Ovis aries: one gene and its partners. The protein of the gene in region 3 purifies or fractionates together with the protein of the main gene of each other region. This does not show direct contact. Links are inferred from orthologs where the notes say so. Each region holds a gene or a part of one and is shown on either strand. Other genes may lie near its edges.

Region 1 (4,286 bases), on a different chromosome or scaffold from region 3:
AATCATTCCATTTGGATGGCATATGTGCTAACACATTGTTATGAATTTAAGTCCCAAGGCAATTTTGAAATTAAATTATAGTTTTAAGAAAACTGATTCACAACACATAAGTCTGAAAGGACAAGGTACAAACAAACAAAAAAAAAAATTTTTTTTAAACAATAAGGTTCTACCATATAGCACAGAGAACTATACTTAATAGCTATGATAAACCATAATGGAAGAGAATATTTTTTTTAAAAGAATGTCCATATATGTGTAACTGAATCACTTTTCAATTTGTTTTGACAAAAATGTAACCACACTACACACATGGTTCTGATTCTTGGTTCTTTTTTCACCTGAAATGCACCTCGGACAGCTAGATGACATGGCTGTTACGAGTATGTGGATGTTTGTAACTGATCACCTGCGGTCTGAATGGGGATGACCATCCCACACCTGCACCTGTGTGTGCTGGGCACCCACAGTCCCCTCAGTCAGTGCTGCAGCTCTGCCTGCCACCACCTGCAGTTCATCCCTGTTCCTCCTCCTACTCCCCAGCTTCCTGTGGACCCCAGTCCTCTCCTCCTCCTAAAGCCCTCTGTCCCATCTACCTTCACAAAACCCAAGCACTAGCTCAAAAACTTCGGATGACTCCTCGACTCCCTGGTTCAGTGTCTCTGGGGTCAGACACCCAAGAGAGTCTATTTTCTTTGGCTGTCAGTTGAGAAGCTGGGGACAGGAAAGGGGAGGTATGGGTGAAGGGTGGGGCTGGGTCTCAATGTCCAGTCTGTGGACTTGCTCTCAAGCTCCTATTCTCAGTATGGCTCCCCTCCCCCAGCTCCCACAATGTGCCTAGTGTTCCCCAGTCCAGACACTCTGGCTGACTCTCTCCTAAAACAAATCTTGGGAAAGTACAAGCCTTTAAGCTGTCTGACCAAGGTCATTCAGCTGGTACCTTATAGAGCTATCATCTGTGGTTCATTTTTGGATGGCAACACCTATTCAATGGACATGAGATTGAGTAGACTCTGGGAGATAGTGAAGGATGGGGAAATCTGGTGTGCTGCAGTCCATGGGATTCCAAAGAGTCAGATACAACTGAGCGACTGAACAAAGAACAATTATTACTCATATATTAGAGATAAGAAAATCAAGGTCTAGAAAGGCTATGCACTTAACTAAAATTCCAACACAAGCAAGCATCAACATGCAGATCTGAACTCAAGAAGATCTGACTTCAAAGCCCATGTTCTTTCTCACAGACAATACAGTTCCATCTTTAAGGCCAGCCCAACCCAACTGCTCTATCAGGGTCAAAAATAGACTCGGAGAACACTGTGTGTTTTCATTTTTCCGTATTTTTTTCTAAAACCCGAATAAGCATATTTGGCTTGATCCTGGATAATGCCTGGGACTCCAGGGCTGCTTCTGTGTGTGTTTGCTTGGTCACTCTGCCTAGAAGTGCTACCTGATCACAGGCTCCTGGGAATAGAACAGTTTGCCTTGCCCGATAAACACTATGTTCACACCAAGTGAAGCCAGATGAAGTCAAGGTCTACTGTGACTACTGTGAGAACAAAGTCTTCACAGTCGTCTGAAAAGCAGTGGAAGTGTCAGGTCATCCCAGGGCAAGTGAATCTAATCCGCCTCAACTCTAAACCGGCTAGGCCATCACCAATACTTTTGTATTGTGAGTATCAATTCCATTTCAGCAAAACATCCAAGAGCATGTTGATGTTCACTTGAATGTTACTGTAAAAATAACAACTTTGTTACTGTAAAAGATTACAACTTTGTTGTAATCCACTTTGCTTTTATTTTTTAATGGCTGAATAAAAAGTTCAAGCCCAGGGGTTTAAACTTTGCTATCATGTAGACATAAATAACAGTTAACAATAATTTGGGCAAATGTGGGGATTGGGGAGATTTTGGCTGTGTGTGTGTGTGTGTTTTCCTTCTAAGGATAAGTTTGAAAACTCAGGTGATCTGAAGACTGGCCAAAAGCAGACAATCACCCCGTGTCGCCGGGACAGGGCACCCCAGTGCTGTCCGGAGGGCAGCGTCCTACTCCTGTAAAATTCCCAACATCACCCCTATAATCTCTTTGCATTATGGGTTATTCCGCTCATTAGTTTCCCCTTCTAACTGGTGAGCAAGGTGGGGATGAAAAGTCGGCCCCTCCACGTGTACACGCCACAGCACTTAGCAGTGTGCCACACATGGAAGATGACCCGTATCTGTCGGATCTGTGGGAAAACAGGCTCACCAGGCTGCACCCCAATGGTCTGCCCGCAGCGTCTGTGCACTTGCTGTCTACATCGGCTTCGTTTTAAGAACGCTGCTTGCCAGCACGGGGCCTGGTAACTCCCAGGAGGGAATGCTGAACTCTTGGGACTGCTCGCGGTGGCCTCGGCGTGGCCGCTCCCCTCCGGGTGTGTCTCCCCCTTGGTACCGCGGGGCGCCCCTGGATTTTGGACATGTGATGGGCAGCGGGGGCGTGCGGGCTGATTCCCCCGGGCCCTTACCATTTGATGATGCTGTGAACCAAGGGAAGGAAGGAGCAGTTCTCCTCCGCCTTCACGCCGGCAGGGGATGGAGGCTTCGGCGCGGGCTGCGGCTGCTGCGCAGAGACAGACGGCGGCGGCTGCGGCTGCGGCAGCGGCTTCATCTCCGGCAGCGGAGGCTCTGCGGGCGGCGGCAGCGTGTCCTCACCCTGCCGGCCGGCAGCAACCCCCACAGAAGCCATCGTGTCCCGGACCCCAGCAGCCGATCAGGGGGACAGTCGGCTTCGCGCGCCGGAAGTGTTGCTGATTATGACGTCACCATCGTGCGCCGCGGAGGCGGGGCCGGGCCTGGCGGTCGTTACTAGGCAACAGGCGGCTGGTCCTTGGTAGCCTGGATTTGGTGGTGCGCAGAGACAGCTAAATTTTTCAAAAGTCAGAAATAGAAGGTATACTTCAGGAATAACATCTCATTCCTATTCACGTTACAAAGAGAATCCAAAAGCAACCTGTAGAGGAAGATAAATGGGGCCTCAGGAAGAGTGGACAGCACCTCCGCACCTGCGGGTGTCAGGCCCTGGGCCCGTGGAGGATCCGAGGGGAAGGACCCACGGCTCCCACCCGCGCAGAAGCCTCCAGGGACGAGGTCTTGCGCCTACCCTATGGACCCTGAAATAAACCGAACAGTTAATATGCATCTTCTGGGTGACACACGCTGTGCTAACTGTGGGGGAAGGGTGAGGTCTGTCTCAACTTACTCCGAGCAGAGATGGCCGAAGGGGATTAGTACCAGGAATAAATACTGTATCCGAGGGAGAAGTCAGTGTCAGCTACTCTCCGTACCTGTGGGCCAGCTCCTGAAGCCCCCGGTCTCAGTGTGCTCACCTCTAAAATCTTTAGTTCAGGGTCATGGCAGAGCCCAAACCACTTTCCAACTTCAGACACATGGCTGACCTTTGAAGGTGTCCTTTGCATGAGCCCTGGGCTCTTAGGCGGAGAAGGCAATGGCACCCCACTCCAGTACTCTTGCCTAGAAAATCCCATGGATGGAGGAGCCTGGTAGGCTGCAGTCCATGGGATTGCTAAGAGTCGGACACGACGGAGCGACTTCAGTTTCACTTTCATGCATTGGAGAAGGAAATGGCAACCCACTCCTGTGTTCTTGCCTGGAGAATCCCACGGGCGGCGGAGCTTGGTGGGTGGCTGTCTATGGGGCTGCACAGAGTCAGACACGACTGAAGCGACTTAGCAGCAGTGGGCTCTTAGGTCAAAGTAGGGGACTCCTGGTGGGTTTGTGGGTATGTTCCTCAAAACAAGCCCTCCCAAGCCACAATGAGGGGGCTGTGTGATGGGGAGTGGCATCCTAGTTGGGAAGTACCCCTCTACTGAAGAGCAAGGTGGCCGGTGCCAAGGAAGCATCAGTGCTGGTATTTCAGAGGCATCTAGGAGGAGTCTGTAGAGGCAAGTCCCAGGGGAGGAGACTGTGGAAGGAAGTGGGGAGGGTGGACGGTGTGTCAGAGGGCACTTTGGTAACAGCCTTAGCACAGCTTTCTTATAAAAACTGCACCCCACAGGTGAGCACAGGGAGGTGGGGGGCTGCTGACTGTGGGCCTCTCCCCCTGAGGGAAAGTTCAGGGTTCTGGTGGAGAAGGAGGAAGAAGGACCCCCTGGGACAGGACCAGACGGGCTTGAAGAGGCTGTACACCCTTGGAATTGCCTGGGGACATAAGGGCGGTGTAATGATAATAATAGTAATTACCACAACTACTGTGGATTGAAAGTATGTACAAGGGACAGAGC
Region 2 (3,991 bases), on a different chromosome or scaffold from region 3:
TCAACAGCTCTGCCGATGGGGCATCATTACTGCCTTTGATGGATGAGGAGTCTGCAGCTTGGAGAAGTGAATCCATGTCACCCAGCTGGAGTACACGAGCCCCTGGTGCTTGCTCTTATAGCCCACATTCCATTGGTCTAGTGGTCCTTTTCTAAATAAAATGCAGGGACTTCTCTGGTGGTCCAATGACTAAGACTCTATACTCCCAATGCAAGGGGCGTGGGTTCAGTCCCTAGCCAGGGAACTGGATTCCACATGTAGCAACTAAGACTCCGCATACTGCAACTAAAAATCGCACATGGTGCAACTAAGATCAAAGATCCTACATTGCCGCAACTAAGACCTGGCACATCCTAATTAATTAATTACCATAAATAAGACGCGAACGTGGTGGTATCATCTTGTCTCTTAAAACCTTCGGTGGCTCCTCACAGGCTGCAGGAAGAGACCCAAACCCCTTCCACAGCTTGCAAGGCCCTTCCATTCTCCTGCTGCCCTCTTCCCTCTAACCGCACGCTCTGACCACAGCAGGCTATTTGTAGCTCCCTAAACATGCCGGGACTCTATGTGCTCGCTAGTTCTGCCCTCTTTGTGTGGGATAATCTTTCCTCCCTGCCCCACCCAATCCACACCCTTTGTCCTACTCCCGGAGAGATCCCACACAGCCACCCAAGCCCAGCCCAGATGTCACTCTGAGGTCTTCTCCTGCCGCCCCCGTGCACACGCTGCTCGGCGTCAGCGCTGCTGTCTTCACATCCGTCTCTTCTCTAGCGCCTGCGCTTTCTCCATTATAACCCTCTGTTAACCAGGCTGAATGTCCTGTTAGACTGTCAATTCCGTGTGGGGAGAGGTGGCGTCTCTGGCGCCTGGAGGAGAGCCTGGCGGAGAGTAGAAGCTCCGCAGCTGTGTGTAGGATGAGGGAACGACTTAAGTGAGTACAAGGTGAGCACCTCAGGACAAGCACAGTGTCACAGTCACAGGACACGGTATGCATCCCCATCTCACGGCAGGTGCCCAGCCCCCAGTGGACGTGCAGTCAAGGGTGAGTGAATGAAGGTGAGGAGAGGAGAGAGGATGGAGCGAGGAGAGAAAAGGGAAGGTTGGATTCACAAAGCAGTTGCAGGCATAGGCACTACTTTGTTCCTTCCACCAGGGGGCGCAAGAGGCCCAGGAGCCTGGCCCTCGGTTCTTGAGGATCAGCCTTAACACCGGCAGAGGTTTGGGGTTGTTTGCTTCCACAGAAGAAGGAGAAAGCAATGGCACCCTACTCCAGTCCTCTTGCCTGGCAAATCCCATGGACGGAGGAGCCTGGTAGGCTGCAGTCCATGGGGTCGCTAGGAGTCGGACACGACTGAGCGACTTCACTTTCACTTTTCACTTTCCTGCATTGGAGAAGGAAATGGCAACCCTCTCCAGCGTTCTTGCCTGGAGAATCCCAGGGACGCGGGAGCCTGGTGGGCTGCCGTTTATGGGGTCGCGCAGAGTCGGACATGACTGAAGCAATTTGGCAGCAGCAGCAGCAGCAGCAGCAGCTTCCACAGAAGGATTCAGGAGGAGCCAGGATCCGAGGAGGGGAGTCCACCCAAAGCTGAAGTGCCTCAGCAACAGGCCTGGCACTGACCGGGCCTGGCCTGCCTGGTGGGACCAGAAGGAGCCAGCTGCCCATCCTGGGATCTCCGTGCACCCAGGCGAGGCCCACCTTGGGACAGGTAGGTCCTTGCAACTGGAGTCGAGCTGGCCCAGAGCTGAGAAAGGACTCAGAGCCCTCCACTGCATGGGCCTGGGGCAGGTGGTTTTCACAGATTCCCGGACAGGAGGCAGTTCTTTAGAATTCACAGCTTTGTCTTCGCACTTCTCCTGTGCTAGTAAAGGCCAGCCTTGCAGGGACTTGGGGCAGAGACAATGAGGAACAAAACACAGTCATTGCCCTCCGGGTGCTCCCTCCCTCCCTGTGAAGCCCTGCACCTGAGTGTGACCTTGGGCACCGCCTTTAACCCTTTCTGGGCCTCAGCTTCCTGATATATTGTTCAGTCACTAAGTCGTGTCTAACTGCAGCACACCAGGCTTCCCTGTCCTTCACCACCTCTGGAGTTTGCTCAGACTCACGTCCACTGAGTCAGTGATGCCATCCAACCATATGTAGCATTGTTTAAATGATGAAATGAGCTAATCCATGAGACATTTCTAGATTACTGTGCATCAGGCAATAAGCATTCAGTAAACGGCAGCTATTATCAGATATTACGGTGATGGTGATTCAGTACCAACAAGCTCTTAGAAGCTTACATGGAAGGCGCGCGGGAGACTGGCCAATGCCGCCAGCTTTGAATTAGCCTTGAGCATCCACCCAGCTGGTCTTTCCATGGCAAGCCTTAGGGATGGAGAAGAGAGATGAGTACTCTGTGCTCACGAGGCCTTCAGTCCTGAAACACAACACACCAAACAGATCCAGAGAGAAAACTGAGGCTCAGACCCCGTGACTGGAAGAGGCCTCAGAGATAAGTGGAGGCAAGGCAGAGAGAAGGGGTGTCCAGCCCAGGGACCTGCCACCCTATCTCTTGGGGTCCTGAGGCCACATGGCTGCATGGGCACAAGATAGCTTGGTGACTTTGGTCTAAATTAAATGCCACCAAACATTTGTGTTATAGAGAATTTTTAGTAGTTTTGGCCTCTCACCCACCCTTGTGAACAGGTGTGCAAGGGGACCAGTACAAACAGGAAGGGTGAGAGGATTGGATGGGAGGTGTCAGAGGGAGGCGAGAACGCAGCCTGGGATGCTGGAGAGACGGAGGGTGAATCCAGACCGTGGTCACTGTGGCCGGGCCTCGGTTCAGCTATGCATTCTTTCTCTCTGGGCACTGGGCAGGAGTGGGGGTGGCCTCTCGAGTGGTGGGGGTCATATGCTGGGAGTTGGGTCCCCTGCGTCCCGTTTCTGTCTGCTCTTGCCTCAGCTTTCTCTGCTCTATACCTTCTGCCCCTGCCACTGAGAAAGGCCCAAAGTCCCCACTCTCCTTCCAGAAGTGGTGCTTGTGCGACCTCCTGCACGAAGCCCTCCTTGATTCTGACCCTCTGCGGGGGACCATCTCTGAATCTTCATGTTAGCTTGTTTATACTGTCTCATGGGGTTCTTGCCTTGCCTTTGCACGTACAGAGGTGGCAGAGTACAGCACTGAGAGCATGGATTCTTGGCTCCCTGGGCCAAGATTCTGGCTCTAGCCTTTATAGTGCTATGGTGGGTGGAAGTTTCCTAACTTCTGTGTGCCTCGGTTTTCTCCTCTACAAGATGAGGAGAACAGCAGTACCTTCTGCACAGGGCTGATAGGACTTTAACATTTCATGTAAATATTTGGCCGTGTTGGGTCTTGGCACCTGTGCCTGGGTTTTCTCTAGCTGCAGTGAGCAGGCTTCTCCTTGTGGTGGCTTCTCTTGTTGTGGAGCAGGCCCTCAGCGGCTGCGGCCCTCGGGCTCAGCAGCTGTGGCTCGTGGGCCCTAGGGTGTGCAGGGTTCAGTAGTTGCTGCTCGCAGGCTCAGTAGCTGGGGTGCATGGGCTTTGCTGCCTTGTGGCATGTGGACTCTTCCAAGACCAGGAATCGAACCCATGTCCCCAGCATTGGCAGGTGGGTTCTCAGTCACTGGACCACCAGGGAAGCCCTGATAGGGCTGGGAGCCACATTTGTAAAAGTACTTAGGCCTGGACCTCGAACGCAGGAAACGCTCTCTAAGCGTACGCTCTTGTTGTCACTGGAGGGCCTGTGCCTTACCCCCTCCTGAAGCCTGTTGCTCCTCAAGGAGAGGTCCCTTTACTTAAGCTGATTTGTGTCCCTTCAGGGCCCCAGCCCAGGGCCCGGCCACCACGAGTCTTCACTGACCTTGTGTGGAATGGTGATGGGACCCGAGGGCCCTCTTGCCTGGTCTCCTGTCCCTCTGGGGCCCCCAGAGAGCCGGGCTGCCTCCGTGGCTGAGGCCCTGCCTCCCACAACCCCGCCTGAGC
Region 3 (3,500 bases):
TAGGCTCTTCTATGGCAGCCCCCTTCCCTGACACATATTGTTGGAAGTGAGCATGAGAGAGGGTCTGGGAACCACTCACATTGTTAGGGGTCTGCTTGATCATGAGCTGTAGTTCCAACGAAGACTGGCGCATGGTCCACTGGTCCAAGTTCTGTGACAGAGACCCCATCAGCAATCTAGTCATCACTGTGTCATCCCAGACACTTAGTACTCTGATGCCAGCCCCTGATCTCTCACAACCTTGAATCACATATGCCTGGAGGTCTGAAAGGGCCCTCGACTTTCCCTCTTTAGGAAAAATCACACTTAAATAATCCAAAATGACTGAAAAAAAATCTATCCTATTTCAAAAGTGGTTTTGGAAAAATTTCACATCTTCCCCAGTTTCCTGCTCCAGAGCCTCACATTCCTCAGCATCAGGAAGTTCTGCTTAATGCTTAACTTAAATCTTTGATGTTGAAGTTGAAGCTCGCCACTCCTGTTTTCAAAGTCCTTTACAGACCCGAGGGCTAGTCTTAGTTAATCTCTCTGAGGCATTATCTTCTCTCAGCCGAAGAGGCCTCATTCCTTTAGGTTTCCCTCAACAGCTTTATTTTTCCACCCCCAGTCACATGAATGTCTGCAGCAGTGTGGCGAGGCAGGAAGGGTGCAGGCAGACCTGGGCTCCTATACTGACTCTAAACTTACCAGCTGCGTGAGTTACTGAACCTCGGGCAAGTTACTTAACCTCTTCAAGCCTCAGTTTCATTGATGCTAAAACAGGGATATTCATGCCTACTTCACAGGGTTGTAAAGACTAACTAAGGAAATCTACATGGAGTACTAAGCACAGTACCCAGCATGAAGCAGCCACTCAATAAGCAGTAGCTTTCCAACAGCATTACTACTCATCACTGAGCTACGATCGACATGCCAGACACATACGACCAAAATCTAGACCTCCCAGATGCTCTGTCTCCCACTGATAAGCCAAAGCCCTACTCCAGCCAGCTGTGTGCCCTCACCCAATGGTTCACTCTTGAGTCTAGACCATATTGGCTTGACTTCGAAACCCATGCTGGAGCTGTTTCTCTCACCACCTCTCACCATATCCTCATTCATCTTCCTACTTAATTCTCCCTCTCTTTTTCTCTCAAGGTTCCCATCATTTCACCCCAGGTTCAGGCCCTACCACTTCCTCCAAGACCCCCGTCACCTTGGCCTACCTGGAGAATACGCTTAATGCGTTGCCGCTGTGGGTTTTCCCCATCCTCGTTGTCCAGCAGCCGATGTGGGTAGCAGATAAGCTGCATGAGGCGCTGGGCCTGGGCACTGCTCAACACTGGGTCTTGCAGGTCATTGCTGTCTTCACACAGCGATTTAAGGCAACGTTCTCCTACCCATTCCTGAGGAAGCCAAGAATTAGGGGACTGGGCCAACCAGTGAGGGGGTTACGAATAAGGGGGATGGACAAGCGGTTGGTGAGGGACAAAATGTATGGCGGGGAGGTGGTGTGATCATGACAGGAAACAAGACTATATTATATAGCAGCATTGAAGAGGTCTGTGAGAGAAGGTGAGACTGACCTGCTGGCAGATGCTGCGTAGCACGTACTTGGCATAGACATCCAGACTGGCTGTCTCCACAGAGATGTTGCGGCCACCCTGCCTCCGACTGCCACTGCCACCTCCTCCCTCCTCCTCTGGAAGTTCTTCTGTTCCTCCTGTCACAGTGAAGCCCGAACCCTTCAGTTCCGCATCCCCTGCGGTTCACGGGCGGGAGATACGGAGTGCAAAGTGAGATCCCAATGCTGTGTGGAGACCTGCCCCAGAGCCACAGAAGCAGCACTCCCCAAATCCTGCCCTATGGGACAGAAATATACTTCCCTCCTTCCTATCCTCCAGAAAGGTCAGAGAGACCAGCTTTAGGAGAGAGAAAGACTGCCCTTTGTAGTTTAGCTGGCGCTCCACCCTATACACACTTTTGGCACCACTCTTCCTACCCCCATACCAAGTACAAACACAGCCTTGAGAACAGCAAACACAGCTCCATCCACGATGCGGTTCTGGGAGGCAGCCAGCAGGTGGCGGTCACAGGAGGAGCGGATTCCTACAGTAGGCTTGTCTGGTGGAGAGAGCTGAAGTCAGGGGAAGCCAAAGTAGAAACGGTGGGGGTAGGGTAGCCACACTATCCTTGGCAGGCTGGCTTGGATGGAGTCACTTACTTCCATCCGATTGGCAAGGATTGAGTTGAGGTGTCTTGAAAAGATGGAGGAGGATGCGGCAGGTAAGCCGGGCCCCTGGCTCAGAGTCCTGTTCACTGCAAGCTACAGAGAAGACACAGAGGCGGGGAAAGGATGAAGGTGGGCTATATGTGGGTTTGTGGGTGCTGAGGCACTAAAAAGGTGGCTGAGGTCAGGCAAAAGGAGATAACACATTGGAGGAGAGGTGAGGGAGCCAACTGTTCTATAGTGTAGAGGGGAGAACCTGGAAGGGTCAGGAACAGGAAAGACTGGGGATACAGGTGCAGGGTCAGAAAGAGGCCCCTCCCAGCCTGAGACACACAACAGAATTGGCTTCTGGTGCCACCAGGAGCCCCACAGTGAACAAGGAGAGTATAGCCATTGAGTGTGTATTGACATTGGGGGTCTAGACTTTCTACGGGTCACAAATTGGTAGTTTACCAGCATTAAGGAGTGAAGGGATGGCCGCACAGCGAATCAGATCCTCCAGGAGCAAACACTGCCGAGCGATGAGGATGGCAACAAAAGTGGCCAGGGAGTCGTGAAAAGACAGGTCACTGACCTGGAGGAAAAAAGCAGACACACACCAGGACTCAGTGTGGAAAGAGTTCTCCTACTCTGAGTGCTGGGCCTCCACTCTGCATAAAGCTGTCCCTCCGCTCTCACAGTCACTGGGAGCAGACTCCTGCCCTGGGGACTGCCCGGTGCGCCCCCACCCCCAGTCTCACATCTACATTGCAGAGGAGGTCGTTGAAACCACAAGTGCCATTGTTAGAGGAGCAGCACAAGGCCTTAAGCACTCCCAGCCACTCTGCACTCAGTGACTTGCAATAGCCGGTCAGCTCTGCACACAGGATGGCGATGTCATTCACCCTGGGGAAAAGTACAAATGCCCTCAGCAAAAAAACCTGTTCTGGCAAAACCTCAGACTCATTAACTTTTCATCTCCACCCCGGCTATAACCAAGGTTGTGGTACCTCCCGGGCAAGTCATCCCTCCCAACATCAGGCGGGAGCGTGGTGCCCATGCCTCACTCAGTACGCCCCATACCTATCCGAATCATGGTGCCCCACACAGACGTGCATAAGGGCATTGCAGACAAAGCTGTAGCGGTTAGCAGGGTTCTCACTAAGACTCTTGCCTAGCCCCGTGTAGGTGAAGGTGTGAGCAGCGGGGTTCTCTAAAGTGTCGTTCATGAACTCAGGTGCCCAGCGCATGTTGGACTCTGATGGCTCCACATTGCAGTAGATGGTGTTCTTCACCTTGGAGCAGAAGTCAC

Evidence for each region. Proteins that work in one complex are often made in the same cells at the same time.
Region 1: the proteins of MED12 (region 3) and MED9 purify together in Homo sapiens (affinity purification with mass spectrometry; 6 studies listed by BioGRID and IntAct, with this or other methods). This does not show direct contact. The link is inferred for Ovis aries from reciprocal best matches to the Homo sapiens genes MED12 and MED9.
Region 2: the proteins of MED12 (region 3) and VDR purify together in Homo sapiens (affinity purification with mass spectrometry; 3 studies listed by BioGRID, with this or other methods). This does not show direct contact. The link is inferred for Ovis aries from reciprocal best matches to the Homo sapiens genes MED12 and VDR.

Annotation. Positions count from the first base shown.
Region 1 is NC_056064.1:34,574,073-34,578,358, forward strand, and holds the start of MED9 (mediator of RNA polymerase II transcription subunit 9), read right to left. Parts: upstream 2,801-4,286; 5' UTR 2,732-2,800; coding exon 2,511-2,731; intron 1-2,510.
Region 2 is NC_056056.1:138,634,893-138,638,883, forward strand, and holds the start of VDR (vitamin D3 receptor), read left to right. Parts: upstream 1-1,191; 5' UTR 1,192-1,709; intron 1,710-3,991.
Region 3 is NC_056080.1:63,840,805-63,844,304, reverse strand, and holds part of MED12 (mediator of RNA polymerase II transcription subunit 12), read right to left. Parts: intron 3,500-3,500; coding exon 3,272-3,499; intron 3,095-3,271; coding exon 2,950-3,094; intron 2,784-2,949; coding exon 2,663-2,783; intron 2,306-2,662; coding exon 2,204-2,305; intron 2,104-2,203; coding exon 1,990-2,103; intron 1,742-1,989; coding exon 1,566-1,741; intron 1,386-1,565; coding exon 1,206-1,385; intron 152-1,205; coding exon 80-151; intron 1-79. UniProt on the Homo sapiens protein: Component of the Mediator complex, a coactivator involved in the regulated transcription of nearly all RNA polymerase II-dependent genes.